Linked DNA regions of Pelodiscus sinensis. The main gene of each other region encodes a partner of the protein of the gene in region 2 in a complex. Links are inferred from orthologs where the notes say so. Each region holds a gene or a part of one and is shown on either strand. Other genes may lie near its edges.

Evidence for each region. The genes of interacting proteins can lie anywhere in the genome.
Region 1: TERT (region 2) and DKC1 share a complex: the UniProt entries of both Homo sapiens proteins name them as parts of the telomerase holoenzyme complex. The link is inferred for Pelodiscus sinensis from reciprocal best matches to the Homo sapiens genes TERT and DKC1.

The regions. Positions count from the first base shown.
Region 1 is NC_134723.1:735,987-746,021, reverse strand, and holds the start of DKC1 (H/ACA ribonucleoprotein complex subunit DKC1), read right to left. Parts: upstream 4,225-10,035; 5' UTR 4,134-4,224; coding exon 4,118-4,133; intron 3,415-4,117; coding exon 3,356-3,414; intron 74-3,355; coding exon 1-73. Other genes in the region: 40-kDa huntingtin-associated protein-like, read right to left, coding at 7,018-8,028.
Region 2 is NC_134712.1:139,863,651-139,873,953, forward strand, and holds the start of TERT (telomerase reverse transcriptase), read right to left. Parts: upstream 4,987-10,303; 5' UTR 4,510-4,986; coding exon 4,273-4,509; intron 1-4,272. UniProt on the Homo sapiens protein: Telomerase is a ribonucleoprotein enzyme essential for the replication of chromosome termini in most eukaryotes. Active in progenitor and cancer cells. Inactive, or very low activity, in normal somatic cells.

The DNA of each region.
Region 1 (10,035 bases), on a different chromosome or scaffold from region 2:
GCCACTGAGACGTGTCCAGCTGAGCCACTCGGGATTCAGGTTTGATGAAAAATTCTTCTGTGTGCTGTATCTCCTGGGAAGAGAAATCACAGATCAGAGAAATGGAGCTGACATGCAAAGCATCTTTAATCTCTCTCTTACAAGTTATTGCGAGCATATCTTACATAATTCCCTTCAATGACAGCTACTCCAAAGCAACATAACCACAGCACCATCAACTTGTTGCAAAACGATCATTGTCTAGAAAGGTTATTGCTGCAACAGCAGGTAAAACTAAAAAGTTTGACATAATGGAACATGGCCCCTCAGAACTCCATGGGAAGGAAAAGTACTAAGGATGGCTACACATTTGAATGCAGAATACTTATCCCAGTCTGCTCCCTTCTTTCATGTAAACGCTAGTGAAGTTTCAGTTCCATACCCCTGGGACTGTGCCATTATCAACACCACAGAAAGGAGGCCATTCTCCAAAACACTATGGGGGCTGAATCTCTTTCAACACATTATAAAAAAAGCAAAAGCTAAACTAAGATTATGTCTGCACTAGAACTTTTATCAATCAGAGGTGTAAAAGGAAGCATACCCAAGCCAGCATAAGTTTCACCAATGGAAGCACAGGTGTGGACAGCTGTACCTCGGTAGGAGCTTCTCTCCTACCAACATAGCAACTGCTGTTCACTGGGAGTGGTTTAATTACGTTCCCACTGGCATACAGCAGTTACATGGGAGACCGTACAGCAGCATAGCTGCAGTGGTATAGTCATGCCACTGTAAGGCTTGCAAAGCAGAGACAGTCTTAGTTAAGGAACTTCTCCAATTAAAAACAAAAAAAAGACATGGGTAATCACACGTGTCTTAATGAATGCACACAATTTGAAAGGAAAAAATGCTAGACGTTTCTCTAGACTTCTAGAGAAGAACAAATGGGGTGGAAAAAAAGCCTAAATCCCAATTTAGGACAGCTTTTCTTAAAAAAAAAAAAAAAAAAACTCATTCTAAGCACAAGGTTCTCTGCCTCCTTACTACCAGCTAAACCTGTAGTCAGTTGTAGCACAAATGTCATTCCATTGGATCTTAAACAGCTATTTTAGCCTCAAGAGATTTACATGAATTAACTGCTAATATCTGTTTAGTAGACAGACATTCACAGCCCCCCCCCTCCAGTTTTATTTGTCTATGCACTTAGTGAGTCATTGGACCAAGGAGAGGTGCTGATTCAGGACAAAGACGTCTTCATTCTCCGACATAACACTATCCCACCTCAGGTCCTTGTGTCCCCATGGACAGCATACACCAAAACCAAGGCAAGAAACAACACTACCCTGCCTTCCGTCCTGCTGCTTCTTTCCCCTCCATCCTCCAAATGAAGGCCTAAAATGGCAACCATTTAGGTTACTGTAGCTACATTTACACTACAGCCCAGATGGATGCGCTGAGATTGATGAACTGGTGATCAATTTAGTAGGTCTAGTGAAGACCTGACAAATCAACCGCAGATCACCATTCTAATTCACCCTGTTACTTTACCTGGAAGAGAAGAGTAAGGGAAGTGGATGGGAGAGTTTCTCTTGTCAGCCCCCCATAGAGAAGACCTCAAGGTAACTGGAACTAAGGTATGCGGACTCCAACTGGTAGCTAGAATTGCATAGCTTAAGTCAACTTTCTGTTGTAGTGTGAATAACATTGTTAAAATGAATTTAAGTAATTGTGTAAACGTGAAGAGAGAAGGCTCCCTGCATGTATGGCAGTCCTGGGCAAAATCTGGCCCACGAAGCCACCAGATTCAACCTGCAGAGGCAGCAGGGAGCCCCTGGCAGGCTCCCTTTCTTGCCCCATGCAGAAACAAGGCTGCAGGGCTCCATTTAAAGTTTTAAGAACCGCCCTGCCCTCAGTATATTTCCATTGGCTGGTTTCTAGCAGAAACCAGCCAATGCGAGCTGCTTGTTAGAACAACAGGCAGCTAAGAAGAGTCACGCCCCCTCTCCTAGACCCAGTTCTCCATGAAGCACATGGCCAGGCAGGCAGGCTGGCTGGCTAACATTGTAAGCTCTGCAGGTAGGCAGGCTACTTTGGCAGCTGACAAGTCTCTCAGCCATACCCTGCTTCTGGCACCCTAGCCCTTTCCTGCCCCAACTCTCTCCCCTCTCCCCCAACATACCCAAGCCTTCTGTCCCCCTCTTACACCTATACCCCCTCCCATATCTGGCACCCAACTCCCTCCCAGACTCCAGTCTCCCTCCTGCATCCCAGACCCTTACCCCAAGCGCCCTTCTGCACCCAACCTCCATCCCAGACCCCACATCTCCATTAATACTATGGAAGAATGTGGCCCTCAACCACTTTCCACAATTTTGGGAAGGGCCTCCCTTCAAAAATTATTGCCCACCCCTAGGCTACGTCTAGACTGGCATGATTTTCCGCAAAAGCTTTTAACAGAAAAGTTTTTCCATTAAAAGCATTTGCGGAAAAGAGCGTCTAGATTGGCACAGACACTTTTGTGCAAAAGTACTTTTTGCAGAAAAGCGTCCGTGCCAATCTAGACGCGGTTTTGCGAAGGCGAAAATGGCAATTGGGGCTATCGGGGCTTTTTTGCGCAAAATAGTTTTTAGCTGTCTACACTGGCCGTCCTACGCAAAAGCATTTGCACAAGAGGGCTTTTTCCCGAGCGGGAGCAGCATAGTATTTGTGCAAGAACACCGACGATCTTACATTAGATCGTCAGTGTTCTTGCGCAAATTCAAGTGACCAGTGTAGACAGTTGTCAAGTTTTTCTGCGGAAAAACTTGCCAGTGTAGATGCAGCCCTAGTGTACAGGGCGGCAGGTGGCTCCCTGGGAGCTGATGCACATGGGGAGATGGCTGTTAAGCCGGCTTCCCATGCATATAAGGAGCCTGCATGTAACCATGCGCATTAATTGATGAGCCCAGGCTTATTGGTTAACTGTGCGCATAGATACACTTTTACATCCCTTATTAAAACGGTTAGGGCTTTTCTTCAGTACATGTGCTCTATTTATTGCATCCTTCAGATATGCTAAATCAGTCTCTAAGCACTCTCCCTTCGGCTGGGGCACTGCACCAGGATGAGGAGAGCATCAGCCCCCTCCCCTCGCACCTCAATGCATGGAAGACACCACGTGGCGTGCTGACTTCAGCTAAGGCCGCGCAGCTGGAGCGGGCAATTGTGGAGCGGCCGCGGCCGCAGGGCGAGAGTCCAGACATGGCCCCGAGACACGGTTCTAACCCCCCCCCCCCAAAAGCGGCCGCCCGGCCCGTCAGGCCGACGCCCGAGCCAGGCTGCAGGCCAGCGGGGGGAGGGGCGCCACGAGGAGCCCGCCGGCCCCGCGGAGACTCACCGCGACATCGGCGTCCGCCAGAGACTTCTCCTTCCTCCGCTTGTGCCGCCGCGCGCCCCCTGCGCGGGACAGAGCGGGGGGGTCAGCCCGGGGCGCCGCGCGGAAACCCCCCCGCGGCCTGGAGCCACCGCCCAACGGCCGGGCCCCCTCCCCCGCGGCCCCCGCCCCCCCGAGCCACCGCCCAACGGCCGGGCCCCCCCCCGCGGCCCCGAGCCACCCCCCCGCGGCTCCCGCCCCCCCCCCGAGCCACCCCCCCGCGGCCCCGAGCCACCCCCCCGCGGCCCCCGCCCCCCCGAGCCACCGCCCAACGGCCGGGCCCCCCCCCGCGGCCCTCGCCCCCGCGGCCCCGAGCCACCCCCCCGCGGCCCCCGCCCCCCCCCCGAGCCACCCCCCCGCGGCCCCGAGCCACCCCCCCGCGGCCCCCGCCCCCCCGAGCCACCGCCCAACGGCCGGGCCCCCCCCCGCGGCCCTCGCCCCCGCGGCCCCGAGCCACCCCCCCGCGGCTCCCGCCCCCCCCCCGAGCCACCCCCCCGCGGCCCCGAGCCACCCCCCCGCGGCCGGGCCCCCCCCCCGAGCCACCCCCCCGCGGCCCCGAGCCCCCCCCCCCCCGCAGCCCCCGCCCCCCCGAGCCATCCTCCCGCGGTCCCCGCCCCCCCGAGCCCCCCCCCCCGCAGTCCCCGCCACCCCCGGGGCCCAGAGCCACCGCCCAACGGCCGGGCCCCCGCCGCCCCGACACAGGCCCAGGCCCCCCGTGCCCCTCACCTTCCCCGTCCGCCATCTTCGCCGCTCGCCCCGCCAGCCGCGTGCAGCCGCCACCGCGCGCGCAGAGAGACTGGCGGGCCGCCCCCGTCCCGAGATGCACCGCGCGCGGGCCCGGCCCCGTCACGTGCTCAGGCGCCCGGAGGGGGAGGAGCTGCCGGCCCGCCACGTGACGAATCGGGCCGGGCCCGCGTGAGGCTCAGCCCGCCCCCGCCAGGATCCAGGCGCCCGGAAGCTGTTACAGCTGCGGGCAGCCGGCCCCGCAGAGGCGCACCCCGCCTTCCCGGGGCTCCGACCGCTGGGCCGGGCCCTTGTGCCGTGTAAACGCGGTGCCGAGGGGTTTGCCTTCCACAGAGGCCCGCTAGCATGGCAGGGCCCCCACCCAGCGGGAGGGATCCAGCCAGGAAAGCCCTTCCAAACCGCTTCCAGGCTTGCATGACTGTCTTAGGACTAAGCTTGTTTTGTCCCCTTTGCTGGACACATTCCTCGTTCAGTGGGTGAGTCTTCCACAACGGCAGGGCAGCTGCAACATTGTTCTTGCCCAATTTTATCTGAAAGGTGTAAGATACAGGAGTAGCTCTCTAACATTTGTATCCCTGGTATCGTGCTCTCTGGTACTGCACTTTGTTGCAAGGCTTGAGACTAACACAAACTCAGCTTCAAGACAAAGGAAACTCCATTCTGAGTTCCAGTAGAAAGATGCTTCATTAGTCATACCTCAGCGCATATGCCCATTTCAAAACATTAGTGTAAAGTTCACTCTTATATGCAAAAATCAGTTTACAGGTGCACGTAAAGTAACACACACACAAAATACCCATCCATTTCCAGCACTTTACAGGGACATTCTGTCTCCACTTCCTACTACGAGAAAGGCTTGAAGTATTTTTTTAAGCAGCTTCCAAACAGCCTCACTTTTATTCACACAAAAGACCAGGCACGCCACATAGTTTGAAGTCCAGAAGGTTCAATTTGTGTAAGAATTCAGTGTGCAAAAAGAACAAAATTGTTTCTTTAGGATACATAAATACAGTTAAAGGGAAAGCACAACTAAAGTTGATCCTCTGCTGGAAAACATTCTTTCCAGAAGATGGCCAGCAACATGCTCTTCTCAGGGCAGTTATCAGAGCTATTCTGCATTTTTCATCATGAAAATGCCATACAAACATTATACTTGCACCAGAGATTTGTAAAATGGGAATGCAAATACAAGTAGGAAAGCACACCTACAAAGAATAAACGATTTGTTCAAGACTAGAGTTAATAGTGTGGAACCAGCTTCCAGGCCCAGATTTAGTTCATTAGATCACAGACCGGGTCTACCATCCAATTTTTAATTCTCTTCATCATTAAAATAGAAAAGTTAAGAGTTAAAAACTAATTGTGCTTTACAGAGATCAGTTTTGCCCTCCCCTAGAATGCACACCTTAGCAAGTGTTGCAAAAGCATATCCGAGGACCAAAGTTACGGGTAAGTGTTCCCCCTACACCCATACATTCCTTTTAAACTGCTGTAACAGGCCTGATAAATAGCAAGATAGCATATGTAGCCAATGCCAAAATTAAACACATTCCACACCCACCTTTACTTACTTGTTGAATGAAACCAACAAAGTAGTGAGGCTAATGAGCTACAAGCAGGGACTCCTCCCCACATTTCCTAGGTTGTGGCTGGTGACACATTGAACAGTAATCAGTTTAAGACTATAATATTTACTGAATTATAGTTTAAAGAATGACAAGGCTTCAGGATAGATAGTTTTCTAGAGACACCAATGTATCTACAGCATTACATTAACAGAGCAAGAGCTTGGACGGAGAGCCAGGTAGTTAGAAAATACAAATCTCAGGCAACAGAAACACTGAAACAGAACCCGGACCAGAAGGGACATAACAATACAATTTTAGCTTCTCATTTAGTTTTTAAATGGAAAGAATTATGAGCACTTTAAACAGAAATGGTATTTTTGCTCACATACCTAAAACTACTCTAATTTTTAAACATACAGAAAAAATGCACTAATCATTATATCTACAAATGTGAGACTTTTAAACTAGAAGGCTGAATCCTGGCATTTGGGGACTGTTTGGAAAATGAGTGCCATTTGCAGTCTCTTAATAAAATATGGCAAGAGTCCTGCCTCTTACGAACTTGAGCTGTGATAGCACACAGTTTCTAATGGATCAGGTCATCTCCTGCAATAGGTATATTGAATCTGTGAGTGAGAGGAGTATGGGAGAAGTGCTGGGGCTGAAAAAGGACATTTCTCTATAACCAGAAGTAGTACATAGGAAGTGTTGGCATATCCACATTCCTCAGCCTCAAAGGGAAAATAGTCTCAAGTGGCATTACATAATTCTTGCCTATATGCTGATGGTCACAGGGAGATAGGTGAACTCTGGCTGCACAGTGGTGACAGGCCAAAATGGAACAACCCTGTGTATGGCTGCTGTGGGAAGCAGAACACCATGGTGGATGAAACGAGTCATGCTGGTAGTGATGCTGAGTAGGGCTTAGACTCTGTGGCTAGCAACAGAAAGGTACGACCACTTCCCTGGGGAACCAGGTGGGCTAATCTCTGGATGATTGCTGTAGGTGTATGAAGTTAATTTCTCTGGTGATGTTTGGTGAGTGTTTTGGGCTATATGAGGGAAATAGCAACAGATCAGTGAAGGTGCAGTTAGTCTGTGGAGATGGCAGACAATACAGAGATGCCATAGTGATGGCAGCTGAAGGTGGGCAAAGCCTATCCCGCTGGTGATGCTACTTGGGGACTCAGGAGTCCCACTGAGGCAAAAGCGGGTGGGTGGGGCAGGCCTCTCTTTCAGGTGGGAAACAGACTCCCTATGGAAGTGGCAGCAAGCAAGTGAAGCCAGTCTGGATGTGTGTGGGGGGGGACGGACTCAGGACCCCTGACCAGCAGGACTGATCATCTCTTGCAGCACTAGATGGAGCAGGTGGTTCTGCTCAGGGCTGAGCAGCGGCCAGAGCTCAGCTTGCAACACCTTGAGCGCCTCCAGGTCCTTCTCCTGACAGGCCATGACAGCGGACTGCAGCAGGAGGAAGAGGCCCGGAGGCAAGTACCCCGCCTGGGGGAGCTGCCCGGCCCCCGCCCCGCTCTCGAAGGCCTCCCAACAGTACTTCTCCAGGGTCTGGGCATGCTCCGGCAGTAGCTTGGGTGGCGGTGGCTGGAGCAGCAGCAGCAGCAGCACCCGCGACACCTCGCAGCGCACCAACACCTCCAGGAACGCGCCGCTGGGAGGGCTGGGCCCAGCCTGGGCCAGCAGCTGCGCCTGGGTGAGCACAGCCAGGGCCCCGTCGTAGTCGCGGCTGAGCAGCAAGCAGGAGGCCAGCTCGCCCAGGCAGCGCAGGGCCTCCAGGGGCAGCTGGGCGGCCGCCAGCAGCTCGGCGGCGCGCTGGAACTGCGGGGCGGCCTGGCCGGGCTGCTCCATGTCCCGCAGCGCCGCGCCCAGCTCCAGGCACAGCCCGGCCGCCAGCGCCGGCTGCCCCAGCTCCAGGTGCAGGCGCGCGGCGAAGGCGAAGCAGCTGTGCGCGGCCTGCAGGTGCTCGGCGAAGCCGCCGCTCAGGCCCAGGCGCTGCCGCAGGTCCCGCTCCTGGCGCAGGAAGAGGCGCGCGGCCTCGCTCAGCGCCTGCGCCTCGCCGGGCGCGTGGAAGAGGCTCTGGGCGCAGCGCGCCACGGCCAGCTGGCACCAGGCGGCGTAGGGCAGCGCGTCCTGGGCCCGCAGCTCGCGCGCCAGCGCCGCGAACTGCTCCGCCGCCTCCGACACGTTCGGCTTCCGCAGGAAGCGCCGCCGCAGCTTGGCCGACACCAGCCGGTAGCGCGCCAGGAAGTCCCCGTCCCAGCCGGGGCCGCCCGCCGCCGGGCCCGCGCCCGAGCCGCCCGCCGCCGCCATGCCGCCGGAAGTCGCCCCGGAAGTGACGCCGCAGCCAGAGCGCCAGCGGAAGGGGCGGGGCCCTGCCGGGAAAGGCCGGCTGGGCGCCGAAAGCAGGGGGCGCTAGAGCGCGGCGCGCGGTATGGCCAGTGCTGCAGCCCCGCTCCCCAGCACGAGCGCCTCCTACCGCCGCGCCCAGGCACCGCACCCTGCCCCCCAGCGCCTCCTACCGCCGCGCCCAGGCACCCGCACCCTGCCCCCCAGCGCCTCCTACCGCCGCACCCAGGCACCCGCACCCTGCCCCTGCCCCCCAGCGCCTCCTACCGCCGCGCCCAGGCACCACACCCTGCCCCCCAGCGCCTCCTACCGCCGCGCCCAGGCACCCGCACCCTGCCCCCCAGCGCCTCCTACCGCCGCACCCAGGCACCCGCACCCTGCCCCTGCCCCCCAGCGCCTCCTACCGCCGCGCCCAGGCACCCGCACCCTGCCCCTGCCCCTGCCCCCCAGCGCCTCCTACCGCCGCGCCCAGGCACCCGCACCCTGCCCCCCAGCGCCTCCTACCGCCGCACCCAGGCACCCGCACCCTGCCCCTGCCCCCCAGCGCCTCCTACCGCCGCGCCCAGGCACCCGCACCCTGCCCCCCAGCGCCTCCTACCGCCGCGCCCAGGCACCCGCACCCTGCCCCCCAGCGCCTCCTACCGCCGCGCCCAGGCACCCGCACCCTGCCCCCCAGCGCCTCCTACCGCCGCGCCCAGGCACCCGCACCCTGCCCCCCAGCGCCTCCTACCGCCGCGCCCAGGCACCCGCACCCTGCCCCTGCCCCTGCCCCCCAGCGCCTCCTACCGCCGCGCCCAGGCACCCGCACCCTGCCCCTGCCCCTGCCCCCCAGCGCCTCCTACCGCCGCGCCCAGGCACCCGCACCCTGCCCCTGCCCCTGCCCCCCAGCGCCTCCTACCGCCGCGCCCAGGCACCCGCACCCTGCCCCCCAGCGCCTCCTACCGCCGCGCCCAGGCACCCGCACCCTGCCCCCCAGCGCCTCCTACCGCCGCACCCAGGCACCCGCACCCTGCCCCCCAGCGCCTCCTACCGCCGCGCCCAGGCACCGCACCCTGCCCCTGCCCCCCAGCGCCTCCTACCGCCGCGCCCAGGCACCCGCACCCTGCCCCTGCCCCCCAGCGCCTCCTACCGCCGCGCCCAGGCACCCGCACCCTGCCCCCCAGCGCCTCCTACCGCCGCACCCAGGCACCCGCACCCTGCCCCCCAGCGCCTCCTACCGCCGCGCCCAGGCACCCGCACCCTGCCCCCCAGCGCCTCCTACCGCCGCACCCAGGCACCCGCACCCTGCCCCCCAGCGCCTCCTACCGCCGCGCCCAGGCACCGCACCCTGCCCCTGCCCCCCAGCGCCTCCTACCGCCGCGCCCAGGCACCCGCACCCTGCCCCTGCCCCCCAGCGCCTCCTACCGCCGCGCCCAGGCACCCGCACCCTGCCCCTGCCCCCCAGCGCCTCCTACCGCCGCGCCCAGGCACCCGCACCCTGCCCCTGCCCCCCAGCGCCTCCTACCGCCGCACCCAGGCACCCGCACCCTGCCCCCCAGCGCCTCCTACCGCCGCGCCCAGGCACCCGCACCCTGCCCCTGCCCCTGCCCCCCAGCGCCTCCTACCGCCGCGCCCAGGCACCCGCACCCTGCCCCCCAGCGCCTCCTACCGCCAGGCACCCGCACCCTGCCCCCCAGCGCCTCCTACCGCCGCGCCCAGGCACCGCACCCTGCCCCCCAGCGCCTCCTACCGCCGCGCCCAGGCACCGCACCCTGCCCCCCAGCGCCTCCTACCGCCGCACCCAGGCACCCGCACCCTGCCCCCCAGCGCCTCCTACCGCCGCGCCCAGGCACCGCACCCTGCCCCCCAGCGCCTCCTACCGCCGCACCCAGGCACCCGCACCCTGCCCCTGCCCCCCAGCGCCTCCTACCGCCGCGCCCAGGCACCGCACCCTGCCCCCCAGCGCCTCCTACCGCCGCGCCCAGGCACCCG
Region 2 (10,303 bases):
GTCTGTCAGTTTGTTTGTTTGGAAATTCAAGGTCTGAGCTGTTTTGTTTGAAGGACCATGTGCTGTAGCCAGCAGTTGAAAGCTGTGAGCTTCTTGACAAGGATTTGAAATCTAGAATCTTCTGTTCATTGGTTGAGCCTTAGCCAGGGGACGAGGCTGTCAGGAAGGCCAGGGCTTTATAAAGCTTGTGAGTAAGCGACCAGGAAGCTTTGCGAACAGGGGCAGTGAAAGGAGTTTCGAGAGGCAGTTGGAAGGAGATGAGGTACAAGTGATATTCTTTAAAACTAAACTAAAAACAAAACTTCCCGATTTAAATAAAAACCCTATCAATAACCTAGATGGCTGCAGGAGAGAATGCAGGCAGAAGCCCAGCAGCAGAGTGGGGGCTATCCTGTTTATTGCAGTCAATGTAGCATGTATGATTACCTGCCCTGTGGGCGGGTGGCATATGTGTGCATTCAGTGCAAGGAGCTCCTGGCCCTCAGAGACCACGTACAGGCTTTGGAGGCTAGGGTGGCTGAACTGGAGGAGCTGAGGGAGGCAAAGAGGTACGTAGATGAGGCTTTCCGGGACACTGTAGAACTGTCCCACCTACAGTCAGACAGCCCCTGTGCTGCTAAGGAGGATGAAAGGCTCAGGGAAGGAGAACATTCAACTGGAGCAGAGGGAAATGATCCCATAGTTGGGACCCTCCTTCCAGTTGTTATGAATGTTATGAAATCCTCTCACACTGAGGATACACCTCCAGGGGAGGGAACTCCAGTCATTAGGAAAATGCAGGTGTTAGTAACTGGAGATTCGATCATTAGAAACATAAGATATTTGGGTTTGTGATGACCGGGAGAACCGTATGGTGATTTGCCTGACTGGTGTGAAGGTTGCGGATCTCTCAAGACATCTAGATAGACTTATATGTAATGCTGGGGAGGGGCCGGTGGTCGTGGTACATGTAGGTACCAATGACAAAGGGAAGGGTAGGAGAGAGGTTCTGGAGGCCAAATTTAGGCTGCTAGGAAAGACTGAAATCCAGGACCTCTTTGGTGGCACTCTCAGAAATGCTTCCAGTTCCATGTGCAGGGCCAGGTAGGCAGGCAAAGCTTCAGAGTCTCAATGCATGGATGAGACGATGGTGTAGAGAGGAGGTGTTTAGATCTATTAGGAACTTAGGAAACTTTTTGGGATGGGGGCATCTATACAGGAACGATGGGCTCCACCTAAACCAAAATGGAACCAGACAGCTGGCATTTAACATTAAAAAGATTGTAGAGCAGTTTTTAAACTAAGGGCTGGGGGAAAGCCAACAGGTGTGGAGGAGCACATGGATCGATCAGAGACATCTATTGGGGAGGTTCTATTAATAGAGATACTCTATGTTCTAATAAGGAGGAGAGGATGAAAGTATGGGTCGGATCAGATAAGACACAATAAAATGAAAAAGAGTCTAACACATCAGGAAATGGCAGCCAGATAATTTGTCACAAATTATTAAAGTGCTTATACACAAATGCTAGAAATCTAAATAGTAAAATGGGAGAACTAGAGTGCCTAGTTTTAAAGGAGGATATTGATATAATAGGCATCACAGGGTTAAAAAGCTTGAGGATATGTCTACACAGCAATGTTATTTAGGAATAACTGATGTTATTTCAAAAGAAAATGTGAGTCTACTCAGCAAGCTATTATTTTGAAATAATGTCGAGATAAAGGACTTCTTACTCTGGCTCCTGTAACCCTCATTTTGCAAGGAGTAAAGGAAGTAAAGGAAGAATGTTCTTCCTTCGACTTCCTGCTGCGTAGACAGCACTAAATGCCAAATTAAGCTATTTTGACTATAGCTACGCAATTGGCGTAGCTGAAGTTGCGTATCTGAATTTGACTTTTGCCCTGCAGTGTTGACATGCCCTAGGGTACCCCACAGGAAGAAATTGTCTTCCGGGACTCTCAAGGGTTTTTTGCATTTGGATGGTTGCAGTGTACCACCCAAAGTCAGGGAACGTTTGGGGAAGTGTTAAAAAACAAACAAACAAACAAAAACCACAGAAGCCTCTAGTGGCAGGGTATTTTTAAGATTTCTTGTGGGTCCCCACCTACTGCATTCAAAGTGCCAGAGTGGGAAACCGCATTGACATGGTGGCAGAGGTGGAATAATTTTGAACCAGGAACACAGAACTCAATTTTAAAAGGATGCTTTTTCCCCCCCTTTTGACTATTTGAAAGTTTAGGGATTTTTTTTCTTTTACTGCCTGCGGGGAAAAAAGGCTCACAGAAAGTTCAACTTGCAAAGCCAGTGATCCAAACCAAATTATTTTTTTTATAGCTTTCAGGGCAACTGAAGCTACAGAAGGGCCAGAAAATAGCCTAGTGCTCATATTTGCAGTTGGGCAGAGTAGCCCAGGAGCAACCAATCTCGACAAAACAGCCAAACGAGATCAGGGCCAGATGTTCATCTCCAAGGCAGAGCTGCACAGTGAAAATAAGGATGGATGTCATTGAAGGGCCAGAGGGGAGTAACCTCAAAGGGCAAGGAACAGATGGTGGCGGTCATGTTCCTCCCATATCACAGAACCTGTTTTAATTCAAATCTCTCACTCTCTTCCCATTGGCTCTCCTGGCTCCCTGATAACACTTCCTGGAGACCCACTGTCTTTGGGTTTAACCCTTTACAGGCAATTTAATTAATAGAATGGCTGATATGTCTAGAAAAGATCTCTTGTGGATACCCCTTCCATCCATCACAAGCTCTAATTAAACAAAAATTACGGTTTCTTTTTCAATGTTTAGATCCGGGATGGGGAACCTCCAGCATGGTAGCCAGATGCGGCCCGCCAGGCACTTTGTTTATGTGAGTGTCTGCAGGCACGGCCACTCGCAGCTCCAGTGGCCACAGTTCACCGTTCCTGTCCAATAGGAGCTGCGGGAAGTGGTGTAACCCACACACCTAATGTGGTTACTAAGCAGTGCAAGTGGTACCTAGACCACAGCAACAGTTAAGCTCAAGAGACCTCTACAGCTGGGGCTGAGAGCCAGCTGGCTTTTAGCTCCCAAGGTAGAGGCTCCTATACTCCGCGTCAGAGATCCCAGGTTCAAATCCACACAGTGGCAGTTACAGTGACACAGCTTCCTGAAGCTCCTATTGGCTGGGAATGTCAAACTACAGCCACTAGGAGCTGTGAGCAGCCATGTGGACACTCAGGAAAACAATGCATTTGGTGGCCCACCAAGCTAACCCTGGTGAATTGCCCACAGGCCAGAGGTTCCCTGTCCCTGGTTTTGATGGTAGCATAGAGGCTGCACTTCCCAAAACTGGGCCACTTTGGTCCGGCAACATCCGTGGTTCAGTGCCAGAGAGCCCTGGGGCTTGGAGTCTCGTGGCAGGAGGGCTTGTGGCAGTAAAACTGAGGCCGGCAGGGCTTGGGGGCCAGACGGCCAGGGCAGAGTGCCCAGCCAGGCTATAGGCAGGGGCCAATGGCCCGGCCAGGCTAGAGGCAGGGGGGCAGCCAGGGTGGAAACATAACCTGCAGTAGGGAAGGGCCAGCAGCCCAGCTGGGCTAGAGACAGTGGGGGATGGCCAGGGCAGAAGTGGAGGCAGTGGGGGGTGACAGGGCTGGTGGCAGGCAACCTCTCCTGGTCCAGCAAATTTCCCTCTTTTTGGACCAGGGAGGGCCAACCCGAACAAGGAAAACATAAAGGCATGGAACCATATGAATGTAATCTTACATTTAACCCTCACTCTCATCTAGCTGCAGCCTAGGAGCCTGGTGACACGTGCTCATCCATCACCATCAGGGGAGGGAAGAACCACCCCGCTGCAGGGCTTGTGGCAGAAGAAGCTAAGATTCAGCCCGACCCCCCCCCCGCTCCCTCCCTCCCCCCCCAGGGCCAAGCGATTACCTGGCCCCACACGGAAAAGTAAACATCTGAGTGGCTGCTGTCTTACAAGACAATGTGCAGGCTCTAACTCGCACGCAAGCCCAGGCGCGGGAGACAAGCGAGAGGAAAGCACCGAGACAGAAGAGCGAGCATAGGCAGCCCGCGCGGGGCACTGCAGCCTCGCTCTTTCCATGGGAAGAGGAGAAAAGGCAGCGGAGCGCCCCTTCCTGCTCTGGAACTAGCCTCTGCTCCGCAAAAGCAAGGTCAGTCCGCAGCCGGGGCAAGCAGCCGGGAACTATTCGCGCCGCCAAAGCATAAGGCTTGCGATGGAGGCAGCAAGTGCCCCGTGAGGCACGCCAGCCCTACAGCCCCCTCCCCAGTCGCCGCCGCCGCCGCAAGTACCTGCTGGAAGGAGACAGGCTGGGGGATGGCTCTGGCTCCCCGGGGGACGCACACCACGCACTGGGCCACGAACGCCTGGTACAGCTCGGAGTCTCCCTGCTGCAGCAGCTCAGCGTGGCCCGGCCCGCACGCTGCCGCCTCCCGGAGCCTCTGCACGAACCGCTCGAGCCCCAGCACTTCAGCGTAGCAGCCCTCCAGCATGGCCAGCACGGCACGGAACGGCCCGGCGCCCGCCATGCTTCTGGAGCCGGGCAGCGCAGCGGCGCTAATGGCTCCGAGAGGCTCGCGCCTCGCCCGCCGCCGCCGCCGCCGCTGCTGCTGCTGCTGCACCTCGCGCGTTCCCCGGGCCGAGAGCAGCTGCGGGCGCGGCGCGCTCCCCCGGGCCCGGGTCCAACAGGAAACCCCAGGTGCCCTCGGCTCCAGTAAGTGCTCGCACTGCGCGCAAGGCCTGCACGAGCCCCCATGGAAGGGCCGCCCTTACCCCGCGCGCCGGAGCCCCCCCCCGCCCCCAGGAGCTGGAACGGGAGGGGAGGGGGGCGCTATGCAGGAGCTGAGATGGAGGGCGGGCTAGGGGCTGGGCTGGAGGAAGGTGCTGCGTGTGTGGCAGTAAACTGCTCCCACAAGCTCTTTGTCTCACAGTAAGAGGTAGGGTTGCAGCCCAGCAAAACATGTAGAGGGCAGCATGAGCTTTCCTGGGCATAACCCACATCTTCAGGTGAAAGAAGTAGGTTGTGCCCACGAAAGCTCAGGTACCATCTCCAGGTGGTGTTAGTCTCACAGGTGCCACAAGACTATTTAAGTTTTTCCAGTGATAGAAATGTAGCCGTGTTAGTCTGGGGTAGCTGAAGCAAAATGCAGAACAATGTAGCACTTTAAAGACTAACAAGATGGTTTATTAGATGATGAGCTTTCGTGGGCCAGACCCACCCACGAAAGCTCATCATCTAATAAACCATCTTGTTAGTCTTTAAAGTGCTACATTGTCCTGCATTTTGCTTAAGTTTTTCCAGTTACAGACCTGCTCCGCTATCCCTCTGATGCTTTTCAACTTCCCTGCAGGTTCATGTAAACCAGGACATTCCCAAATAGTGGTGTTATCCCGCAGCCACACTGCCAGGTTTGGTTAGCCCATGTTAGGTCAATGTACAGCCACCAACTTTTGTGTAAGGCTTGCGCACATGCCTACTTGGGCATTTGTGGTCATCACACATGAATGATTGCCTCAGTGGTGCAGCATCACCCGTAAGTATCTCATTGTGCCTCAGGCTGCCACCTGGCTCCATGTGTTGTGCTATACTTGTGATTTACCAATGGATTAGTGGGAGCTGAAAGTCATGTTCACACAGGGCCATTAACTCCCACTGTCCAGTGTACCACAGCACTCTGGCGGAAACAGGGACCCTGTGCTGAACAGTTCTCTTGAGTTTTGCTAATGCAGAATCATGATGCATGATTCTCCTAAGTTGCAGAACTTGAACAAGTACTATTACAACCTAGGGTTAGCACATGTCTAGGTTTTCCTGGACCCCTTTATTGCCTCTTAATTGAAAAAAAAATGTGCCTGAACAAAGGAGAGAGGATCTAAAAAGAAGACACTAAGGCTGTGTCTACCCGGCCACGTGTTCTTGCACAAGTAAACTGACGTTCTACTGTATGAAATCAGAGTTTCTTACACGAGAACTCTGATGCTCCCTCTCAGGAAGAAGCTCTCTTGTGCAAGAGCTCTTCCAGAAGAGGCCAGTGTAGACAAGCAACATGAATTTCTTGAGCAAGAAGCCCCTTTGGTTAAAATGGCCATCAGAGCTTTCTTGCAAAGAGAAAGTCCACATTGCCATGGATGCTCTTGCGCAAAAGCACATCTCTTGCACAGAAACACATGCCAGTGTAGACACGCTCTTGTGGAAGACTTTTTGTGCAAGAAGTCTTCCGCAAAACAGTTCTTGTGGAAGAAGCTGCCAGTGTAGATGTAGCCTAGAAAGAGCCCATTCTGTGCCCCCATTGGTCCATTCCCAAGCAGGCCTGCACTGATGCATTAATTGACAGCATTATCCAGGTCCTAGGGTTTCACTAGCTACTTTCCTACAAAGAACAATATTGACCTCCCACACCAGATGTAATAATATCCCTGTGGTGGGAAAAATACCTCAGCAGCCCAACACTAGCATTTAATTTCAGAAAGGGGAACTACACAAACAAGGAGGTTAAACAGAAATTAAAAGGTACAGTTATAAAAGTAAAAGCTCTGCAAGCTGCATGGAAACTTTTAAAAGACACCATAGCACCAGGCCCAACTTAAAAGTATAACCCAAATTAAAAAACGCAGTAAGGCTATGTCTACACTATGAGTTTTGCTGAAAAAGGCAATTCAAAATGAAGTGCGGATTAGCATTTTCTCACGCTTCATTTTCATAATCTTCTGATCCGTTTTTGCGCAAGGAGTTTTTGTGCAAAAACAAGCAGTGTGGACATTTCCTTTTTACGCAAGATCTTTATACCTCCTTTTTTGAGGCATAAGGATCTTGTGCAAAAAGGGGGTTTTTCCACAAAAAGGAAACATCCACCCTGCTTGCTTTTGTGCAAAAACGGTTCGGAAAAGATTATGCAAATGAAGCACGAGAAAATACTAATCTGTGCTTCATTTGCATTGCCTCTTTCGGCTAAACTCAGTGTAGACATAGCCTCAGAGAACCAAAAACGTGTTGCTGTGGCTTAACAACCAGTAAAAGAATCAGTGAAATAGACATCTTTTAAAAAGTGGAAGTCAAATCCTAGTGGGAAAAATAGAAAGGAGCATAAACTTTGTCAAATTAAGTGTAAAAATATAAGAAAAGCCAAAACGGAGTTTGAAGAACAGCTAACTAAAAACTAATAGTAAAATGTTTAAGTACATCAGAAGCAGGAAGCCTGCTTAACCAGTTGAGTCCCTGGAAGATCAAGATGCTAAAGTAATTGCAGAGAAGCTAAATGAATTATTTAATTCAGAGATCCCCAAACCTGAGCCATTCTTTTTAGGTGACAAATCTGAGGAATTTTCCCAGATTGAGGTGTCATTAGAAAAGGTTTTGGAAAAAATCTGATAAACAGTAACAAGTCACCAGGACCAAATGGCATTCACCCTTGAGTTCTGAAAGAACTCAAATGGGAAATTGCAGAACTATTAACTGGTTTGTAACCTATCCTTCTGTACCTAATGATTGGAAGATAGCTAACGTGACGCCAATATTTAAAAAGGGCTCTAGAGGTGATCCTGGCAAAATCTAATGTCAGTACCAGACAAATTAGTTGAAACTATAGTAAAAAAATGAAATTGTCAGACACGTGGATGAACATAATTTGTTGGGGGAAGTCAACATGGTTTCTGTGAAGGGAAATAATGCGTTACTAATCTACTAGAGTTCTTTGAGAGGGTCAACACACATGTGGACAAAGGGGATCCAGTAGATATAGTGTACTTAGATTTCCAGAAAGCCTTTGACAAGATACCTCAGCCTCACCAAAGGCTCTTCAGTAAAATAAGTTGTCATGGGATAAGAGGGAAGGTCCGGACTAGTAATTGGTTAAAAGACAAGAAACAAAGGGTAGGAATAAATGGTAAGATTTCAGAGTGGAGAGCGATAACTAATGGAGCCCCCGAGGGTCTGCCCTGGGACCAATCCTATTCAATTTATTTATAAATGATCTAGAGAAAGGGATAAACAGTGAGGTGACAAAATTTGCATATGATACCAAACTGCTCAAGATAGTTAAGACCAAAGCAGACTGTGAAGAGCTTCAAAATGATCTCACCGCACTAAGTGATTGGGCAACAAAATGGCAAATGCAATGAAATGTTGATAAATGTAAAATAATTCACATTGGAAAAAATAATCCCAACTATACATACAATATGATGGGGACTAATTTAGCTACAGTTACTCAAGAGAGAGATCTTTGGAGTCATTGTGGATAGTTCCCTGAAAAACATACATTCAGTGTGCAGTGGCAGTCAAAAGTAACTAGAAAGTTAGGAATCATTAAAAAAAAAGAGAACATCTTATTGCTTCTATATAAAACCATGGTACACCCACATCTTGAATACTGAGTACAGCTGTGGTCGCCTCATCTCAAAAGAAATATGGGCATTGGAAAAGGTTCAGAAAAAGGCAACAAAAATTATTAGGGGTTTGAATGGGTCCTATGTGAAGAGAGATTAAAAAGACTTGGACTTTTCAGCTTAGAAAAGAGGTGACTAAGGGGGGATATGATAGAGGTCTATAAAATCATTACTTTGTTGTAGAAGGAGTGAGTAAGGAAAAGTTATTTACTTATTCCCACAATGAAAGAACTAGGGGTCGCCAAATGAAATTAATAGGAAGCAGGTTTAAAACAAACAAAAGGAAGTTTTCCTTTACTCAGTGCACAATCTGTGGAACTCCTTGCCGGAGGATGTGGTGAAGACTAGGATTTTAACAGGGTTAAAAAAAGAGCTAGATTCATGGAGGTTAGGTCCATCAATGGACATATTAGCTAGGATGGGTAGGAACCTTGTCCCTAGCCTCTGTTTATCTGGAAATGGATGACAGGAGAGGGATCACGTGATGAAGACCTGATTTTACCAAAAGAGAGCTTTGCAGAAAGAGAAAAGAAACTGGAATCTCTGATAGCTGACCCTCAGTCTTAGGCATCCATATATATAGTGTTTTACAAAAAACACCAAACATGGCAGGAAAAGAATTGGTTGAGCAAAAAAGAAAAAAAGAAAGAACCAAAAGTTAAAACAAAAAACCCCACCCCCCCAAAAAGACCAAAAAATAAGAGTCATGGACCCTTTGAATTCCTGCACTCCCCTGCTCCCACCAGACACAGCGGGGGAAGAATGTCCCAAGCAGCCTTCAATCCGAGAAAAACAGAAAATACCGTATATTTTACATGTCTGGTATTTTCAGGGTTTTTTTTTAAACCAGACAAAAGCCACAAATACCGACCGGACACCTGGCAACCCTATACATAGACCTCCTATGATCTTCCAGGACACAAGAATCAAATCATCACCTTAAAAAGGGTGCTTTTATTAAAACAAAAAGATATACTTGACTCCCTGGGATGCTTATGTGAAGGGGAAAGGAGTCCAGGAGAGCTGGCAGTATTTTAAAGAAGCCTTATTAAAAAGGCACAGGAAGAAACCATCCCCATGCACAGTAAGAAAAGCACATATGGTAGGCAACCAGATTGGCTTAAAGGGGACATCCTTGGTGAGCTTAAACACAAAAAGGAAGCTTACAAGAAGTGGAAACTTGGACAGATGACAAGGGAGGAGTATAAATATATTGCTCAAGAATGCAGGGAAGGCAAAAGCACAACTGGAATTGCAGCTAGCAAGGGATTTGAAGGGTAACAAGAAAAGCTTCTACAGGCATGTTAGCAATAAGAGTGATCAGAGAGGGTGTTGAGCCCTTACTGGATGAGGGAGGAAACCTAGTGACAAATGATGTTGGAAAAGCTCAAGTACTTGATGCTTTCTTTGCCTCTGTCTTCACAGACAAGGTCAGCTCCCAGACTAATGCACTAGGCAATGCACTATGGGAAGGAGGTGGACAGCCCTTGGTGGGGAAAGAACAGGTTAGGAACTGTTTAGAAAAGCTAAACATACACAAATCCATGGGTCCAGATTTAATGCATCTGAGGTTACCGAGGAAGTTGGCAAATGTCATTGCAGAGACTTTGGCCATTATTTTTGAAAACTTGTGGAAATCGGGAGGGATCCCAGATGATTGAATAAAAGGCAAATGTAGTGCCTATCTTTAAAAAAAGGGAAGGACAATCCAGGGAACTATAGTCCAGTCAGCCTTACCTCAGTCCCAGGAAAAATCATGGAAGGGATCCTTACGGAATCCATTTTGAAGCACTTGGAAGAGGGGAAGTGATCAGGAATAGTCAACATGGATTCACGAAGGGCAAGTCATGCCTGACCAATCTGATTAGCATCTATGATGAGGTAACTGGCACTGTGGATATGGGAAAGTCAGTGGATGTGATATACCTTGACTTTAGC